Cricetulus griseus: one gene and its partner. The protein of the gene in region 2 binds, or shares a complex with, the protein of the main gene of each other region. Links are inferred from orthologs where the notes say so. Each region holds a gene or a part of one and is shown on either strand. Other genes may lie near its edges.

Evidence for each region. The genes of interacting proteins can lie anywhere in the genome.
Region 1: the proteins of Mpp1 (region 2) and Gypc are in contact, whole or in part, in an NMR structure (PDB 2EJY), measured with the Homo sapiens proteins. The link is inferred for Cricetulus griseus from reciprocal best matches to the Homo sapiens genes MPP1 and GYPC. Residues at the interface, in NP_002427.1 of Homo sapiens: Pro81, Met82, Gly83, Ile84, Leu86, Lys87, Leu88, Leu100, Val130, Gln134; in NP_002092.1 of Homo sapiens: Arg123, Lys124, Glu125, Tyr126, Ile128.

The regions. Positions count from the first base shown.
Region 1 is NC_048595.1:204,836,609-204,840,975, reverse strand, and holds the start of Gypc (glycophorin-C), read right to left. Parts: upstream 2,927-4,367; 5' UTR 2,651-2,926; coding exon 2,611-2,650; intron 1-2,610. UniProt on the Homo sapiens protein: This protein is a minor sialoglycoprotein in human erythrocyte membranes. The blood group Gerbich antigens and receptors for Plasmodium falciparum merozoites are most likely located within the extracellular domain.
Region 2 is NC_048604.1:732,705-736,134, reverse strand, and holds part of Mpp1 (55 kDa erythrocyte membrane protein), read right to left. Parts: intron 3,139-3,430; coding exon 3,058-3,138; intron 2,094-3,057; coding exon 2,013-2,093; intron 1-2,012. UniProt on the Homo sapiens protein: Essential regulator of neutrophil polarity. Regulates neutrophil polarization by regulating AKT1 phosphorylation through a mechanism that is independent of PIK3CG activity.

The sequences.
Region 1 (4,367 bases), on a different chromosome or scaffold from region 2:
TAGCCTGCTCAGTGAGTTCTAGGACAGTGACACACCCTGCCCGAAACAGAAGGTGGAAAGCACCTGAGAAATGACATGTGAGGCTGCCCATGGGCTTGCATTGATACAAGCACAAATAGGTGCACACACACACTCATACACACACACACACACACACACTCATACACACACACACTCACACACACACTCATACACACACACACTCATACACACACACACTCATACACACACACACACTCATACACACACACACTCATACACACACACACTCATACACACACACACACTCATACACACACACACTCATACACACACACACACTCACACACACACACACACACACTCAGACACACAAACTCAGACACACACACACACACACACACACACTCATACACACACACACCTGGCAGAACCTTCAGGAGGACAGTTTCTGAGAATTTAAGAATATTTTAAACACACAAAGTATTTGTCTCATAGATTAAACCTTGGTGTAGGACACTTTATCCCGAGCTCCTACAATCACACACAGGTAAAATTCCACGTACAAAGATGGCCCCTGCCACCCAGAGATAAACCCACTTGATTTCTTAACCTCTCCCCACTCTCGGTGGAAGCAGTTACTTACTTCCACCACACACGCAAGCACACACACACACACACACACACACACACACACACACACACACACACGCCAACCACATAGAATGCCCCTTACCCCATAATCCTCTGCTTCCCAGAGTGTTTTGCAAGCCTCTAAAATACTTGCCCAACAAGGGTACCCTGGGAAAGGCTAGCTGCTTACTGTGCCAGCCCCACGAGACTCCCCATGTCCTCAGCATCTAGAGAGATTGCACAAGGGTTGAGATGTAATTTCATTTGGCACTTCTGGTCACCCTCTCTGCCTCTGCCAGCGACAGCAAATTCTATATAAAGCTGCCAAACCTGGCATCTCTACACTAAGCAGTGACCCCTTTTCAGCCAAGGGCAAGGCACCAGACTGCCCATGCATAACTTGCCAATAACGGTGACAATCAAGCTTAGAAGAAACACTAAACCCTGCTGGGTCCAGGCTGACCCGACAAATTTTCTCTGCTCCGACCTCAGGCACTGAGTAGCTACAGCTTCGTCATGGAGACAGGATATAGACACATCCTGTCTGAGTTAGCAGCAAGAAATAGGGCCCCAGGGGTCTCCCATAGCAGGGACCCTGCCAGAATCCAATGGGGGACAGTAATCTGGAGAACTATATGAGCAAGGGCTGTAACCCCATCAGCCCGGGAGGAGAGCTGTTTGCAGTTGTTGGCCAAGCAAGGTCTACAACTGAACACACGTGTCCATGCATTCACACACAAGAACACGAATCAGTCACAGACTGAAATAAATGCACATGATTCTGGCGGTCCACACTCTCTGATAAATTTCATCTTGGGGTGCTAGACATTTGTAAACACGTGTTATATCTCAGCCTGCACTCTCAAGCATTTATATGCATCTCATTCTTACAATCCAATGAGAAATATTCTATGAAGATTCCTCACTTCATGGATGCTGAAACCAGAGCTGAGAGATGTTACAGAGATGATCCCAATATAGGCAACATACACGACAGCGTGGCTGGGCACAAAATCACAGACCATCAATATATGGTAACTAAGTATCCAAGCCACACAAGACAGGGGCCCTGAAATTGCCTACATTTACAGGACTTAACACAGTGGTGGCAGACCAGGGGTATAGTTCAGTAGGTAGCATGCTTGACTAGCATGCATGGAGACCTGAGTTTCCTCTTTAGTACGGCATAAACTCTGTGTTACCACATGCCTGGTAACATAGTTTGGAGGCAGGAGGATCAGAAGTTTAAAGTCATCTTGGCCTGGTCCAATCCACAAACTAGCCTGGGTTACATAAAACCCTGTCTCAAAATTAAATTAAATTAAATTAAAATTAAAAAGGTCTCTTATTGACTTATTATAGTGATAGAGAACACCATGTAGGCTCTGAGTAATTCCTCTGTTAGGTGAGGGGTAAAGTGGATAAAGAGTTGTGTTCTTTCTAAAAACAACACTTTGGATTGCAAAAGCCCCAAAGTAGACCAAAGCAGAGGAGAGCAGGGCGCCAAGAGGCCCATCAATGTTTCCTACATCCGGAGACTCTCATTGCTCCAGTCACCAAGAAGTTAAAGCGTTTAAAAAGACAGTAGGTTTTGTTTGTTTGTTGTTTCATAATCTCAAGGAGTCAAGGAGAACGGATCCCACAAAGTCTGTTCCTGTCCCAGGGCCAGTGGGCCAGAAAGAACTGTTAGAGAATTTTGGAGTTTTCCCGAAGTTGGCCTCAGTTCCTGCGGCGACTTGCCTGGGGTGGGGTGAGGGGTTGGGGGGGTGCCTGGTTGCTGAAGGCTCGGCCTCTCCCTCTCTCTGGTCCCGGACCCTTCTCAAGCCCCACACAAAGAAACAGCGCGCCACCGCGGGGCTGGTGGCCTCTTTGGGTGGGGGACATCCATCGGGCCAAGGCGCCCGGCGGCCTGCTGTTGCAGGACTCGGACCCCGCGCGCTCGGTGCGCCACAGTGCGGCCCGGGTCAGGCGGGGACCCGGGACAGTCCCGGTACTCACCGTGGCGCGGGGGAGGCGGCGTGCTCCTGGGGCTGCTCATCGCCACGCGGCGGGGAAACACGCGGTGGGCGCACTGTGGCGAAGGGGGTCCCCAGCTCCTGGACCCTGCCTGTCGGTTGTACCTGGGGCTCCCACTCCGCGCGCTGCCAGCAGAAGGGAGGGGCTCCGCCCCAAGATAGGCACACTTCAACTTTTTTTTCTACAACTTGGCCATGAGGTTCCCACCCATTTTTTTTTTTTTTTAAGCATACACCCGCCCACTTCCGAACGTTTTCTTCTGCGCTCTAACTTTCTGCTCAAGGCTCACAGTCCCCCCCATGTTTTTGTTTCCATCTGTCAGTATCAGATAGAAAGCTTGTGGTTGCTCCCCCTCCCGCCGCGCGCCGCACCCCCCTCCCCTGTGTGAGCTCTGGAAAAGTCCCACGTGAGACCCAGTGGCCTGGCTGGGCACTGTCCAAATAGGGGCAGGCAAGAGTTTCAAGCCTGGCTTGGATGCTGTGCAGCCAGAACCATTCTAAACATTTCTTCTTCATAAAACGATGTCTCTTAATTAAAATTAATTGTGTATATTATTTACAGGGTATGGCACAATATTTCAGGGCATACATAGGTTGTGTACTGATGGTGTCAATAGCATTCCTAACTTTACCAATCTTTTACTTTTGGAGGCATCCTACTCAGGGTGGGTGTGTGTGTGTTTGTGTGTGTGTGTGTGTGTGTGTGTGTGTGTGTGTGTGTATGTAGCCAATCTCTGTTTTAGTACCACTTACCCAATCTTGCTGTATTTCCCCACCTGTCGTTGATCACTACTAATTGCAACTGGACTTTTCTACTTTGAGATGCCATTTTAGATTTTACAAGACAGATAATACTTGTATTTGACTCTCTCTTTCTGGCTTAGTGTATCTTTACTTCATAGAGTGTCCTCCACTTCCACTCTTTCTGTGTCACCCGACAGGTGTGACACTTTGCAAGCATCAAAGTTCAGTTCGAGTGCCTTAGCTACTTTTCTTGTTGCTATGATAAAATAAGGTTTATTCTGGTTTGTAGTTTGAAGGTACAGTCTATCCTTTCACCAAAGGCACAGGAGCTTGAGACCACAGGTCACATTGTATCAATACTCAGGAAGCAGAATGGGAGTGAGGGTGTTAATACTTGGCTCATAGGCATTCCCAGACCTAGCCTAATCAATTAAACAATAAAAGAGCCCAGATACGCAGTGGCACACACTTACAGTCTGTACACTGGCAAAGTGGAGGCAGGTAGATTCCTTAAGTTGGCTGGCCAGCTAGCTTAGGTTGCTCCGTGAGTTCCAGGTTACCAAGACATCCTGTCTTAAAAATCAAGGAAGATGGTGCCTAAGGAACAGCTGCTGAGGTTGACCTCTGACCTCCACACATGCATGCACCATGTGAATTGAAGTACCTTCATCTCACATTTTTCCTTAATTTGTCATCGCACCTGTGACATCAGGGCATCAGGGTTAGAAGTATGTTTAAGGCTTTTAATGTGCTCAGAGCTGTTGCTGTAGCCATTTACGTTTCAATCAAGATGACCAGTGGCAGCCTTGGAGCTTCCTGCCAGAATTAAGCACTAAGTTTCATACTGGTGTTAATTCCGCATTCATCTGTTCCTGTTGCTGTGATAAACATCCCAAGAAGAACAACTTAAGGAGGGAAGGGTTTATTCTGACTCGTAGTTCAAAGACACAATCCATTCCTGGGAAAGCCTTGGTGGCTGGAGCATGCAGCCCCTGG
Region 2 (3,430 bases):
GTGTGCTGCCTAATGTGGATACTGGGAAACAAACTCTGGTCTTTTGCAAGAGCAGCAAGCACTCAAACACAAAGCCATCTCTCCAGCTCTTTTTCTTTTTTATGACATGGAAAGAAGAGCACACTGGCTTGGTTTAAACATTTTGTTAAAATACTGGTTCTGATTATTTCTCAACAGGTAAAAGCACTTGCCACAGAAAGCTTATAACTTGAGTTCAATTCCTGGAACCACATATGGTGGAAAGAAAGCAGACTTTCATAAATTGCCCAACCCCCTACACACACAGACATATAATTCTTTTAAAAGTTAAAATGTTAAGAGTAACATTCTAGTGCAGAGATAAATTGTATATTCCCATCCTCTTTTAATCCTCTGATGAGCCATGTCCTTTACCTTCCTCTCAACTTGCAATTGCATCTCAGGCTCTTTCCATATACATGTATAAATACATATGTACATATATACATACATACATACACACACACACACACACACACACACACACACACACACACACATATATATATATATATATATATATATATATATATATATTGTAGACTTCCCTGGGACATCTGTTTTCTGCTCTACTGGAATGACTCTCACTATGTTCCTATGAGCAACTTTCAATAAATGATCCATATGTAAAAAAGACAAAGAATGAAAACAAATAACATCAGGTTCACATCCTAGTTTTCTAATTTGATTAGCAGTACCCCTTCTGAGAATTATATCTCTTTATTGCTGTGACTGAGCAGGCCTTCCCTAAGCACTATTTTGGTTTAAAAGACATTCTATGAGCACTAGAGGCAGCTTAAATATTAAACAATGTAAAATAGCCACAAGAACTATAGTGTATCCACTATTCAAACTATACTATCTACATAAAAGGACTATAAAATAGTCCTACATAAAAGGACTATAACGTAATCCTCAAACTGAATTAGACAGTAGAGGACCCTGAGAAATCATTTATAAAGCAATATACATAAAATTTAATTCTTAATTTTTTTCTTTTTCAAGACAGGGTTTCTCTGTGTACTAAAACTGTCCTAAAACTCACTTCCTAGACTAGGGTGGCCCTGAACTCAGAGATCCCAATGTGCCACCACACCCAGCCTTAATATTTTTTAAAAAACGATGTTTACTACAAGTACTGTTATATGGAATAAGAGAATAAGAAAAGTTATTTTGTTATCTCAAGCAATTGTAAGTACACTCTGTGATCTCTGTGTGTGTGATATGCCATTATGTGCATACGAAAATTAGAAGACAACCTGTGAGAGTCAGTTCTCCTACCATGTGGGTTCTAGGGATTCAATTCACATTGTCAGTTAGCAATCCTCTCCCCAGCCCCATAAGTACATGTTTATATTTCCAAATTTTTAGGGGTTTTTTTGTGTGTGTGTGTGTTGGTACATATGCTCATGTACAGAGGACAGAGGGCAGCCTTGGGTAACATTCCCTGGGTGCTGTACACCTGTTCCTTTTTTTAAAAGATAGGGTCTTCTCATTGGTTTTGAACACTACAAAGAAGTCTATAGATCTGCTATCTCCACCTCCACGGGATTAACAGTGCATGCCAGCATGCCAGGCTTTTCTTTCTTTTTTTTTTTTAAAGTTTACCTTTATTTTATGTGCATAGATGTTTTGCCTGCATGTATGTCTGTGTGAGAGTCTCAGATCTTGAAGCTATAGACAGCTGTTAGCTGCTGATCTTGAAGTTATAGATAGCTGTTAGCTGCCATGTGGGTGCTGAGAATTGAACCTGGGTCAGTGCTCTTAACCACTGAGTCATCACTCCAGTCCTCCATGCCTGGCTTTTCAATGTGGATTTCAGAGATATTTCCAGGCCCCTAGATTTAAGTTTTCATAATTAAACATCTAAAATAAAACAAGTACAAGACCACATGACATTTCAAAAAATACTGATGCTAAATTCAGTAACATGACATTGCTGCCTGTCCCTTAGGGCATAATGTTCCCCTCCAAGGCACCTGAAAAATACTTACATGGGGCAGGGTACACAAACTTCTCTGGATTCTGTCTGAGCAGAGCATTCTTAATATGGCTGCGACCTACCCCACTGGCTCCTGTGTAAGAATAAAGAAAGGCTTGCATCACTTTTACCCAGAGACATTGGTGGAGACAAGACAGGGAATGGAAGATAGATTTCTATATTCCGGTGCTCAAAGTGGCTAGTAGACAAAAACAGTTTGGTGCTTTACCCAGGCTGCAACTGAGTCCTTAGAGCTGTCAAAGAAGATTTGGGATCACCAAGTAGCTTCAATTCCTTTGTATCCTTAAAGTTAAGACATAGAACATAATTTCTATTTCCATAGAGGAACCAGCTACTGTGCAGTTTTCTGTTTATTTTGTAAGCCATCCAAAAAGGTGGACAAACAGCAAACCTACTCTAAAAAGAATTAGATTCTAAGTAATAGAAAAACTCGTGCCAGGCGTTGGTGGCACACACCTTTAATCCCAGCACTCAGGAGGCAGAGGTAGGCGGATCTCTGTAGGGAGACACCCTAACCCCGCCCAATAGTCCCGGGTCCACCTGGCATCTGTCCGGGACTATTGGGCGGGGCTAGGGTGTTTCCCTACAGATCTCTGTGAGTTCGAGGCCAGCTTGGTCTCCAGAGCGAGTGCCAGGACAGGGTCCAAAGTTACACAGAGAAACCCTGTCTCGAAAAACCAAAAAAAAAAAAAAAAAAAAAACCAAAAAAAAAAAAAAACTTGTAAGATCCACAGAGTTAGTGGTGGCACACACCTTTAATCCCAGTACTCGGGAGGCAGAGGCAGGTGGATTTCTGTGCGTTTGAGACCAGCCTGGTCTATAAGAGCTAGTTCCAGGCCAGCCTCCAAAGCCACCGTATCCCCCCTCTCCCCCCAAAAAACTACAGAGTTCTTTATAAGTACACTACATGAAATATATAAGAGACCACACTTCATTTCTTCCTCACTGCCTTTCCTGAAGAAGGGTGGACACATAACACAGGAATGGAAATAAGGACAGAATTATGCTCTTGAATTAGCAAAACTGTGAAAAGATACCAATCAGCACCAGGGTCTTCCTCTTGAATGCAGGGATCCGGACAACTTCCTCATAGGAAACAACATCCAACTGGTCAAAAACTAAAGACAAAGAAGATCAAACCATATTAATTTCCAGAGGTGGGGTGGAAAAGCACTGGCTGGGGTTAAGGAGCTGACACCTGATATAGGAAGGAGAGGAAGTTGTGCATGGTGGTGCAGACGTGCAATACTAGAACTGAGGCCCTGTCTCCAAAATAGAAAACAAAATATAGGGAGAGAGACCATGGACATGAAATTGGGGGGAGGGAGGTTGTAGGGAGGGATGCTGGATATTTCTATGTGATAAAGAAGTGTGATACATAATAAAGCAAAGCAGAAAGTATCTCCTATG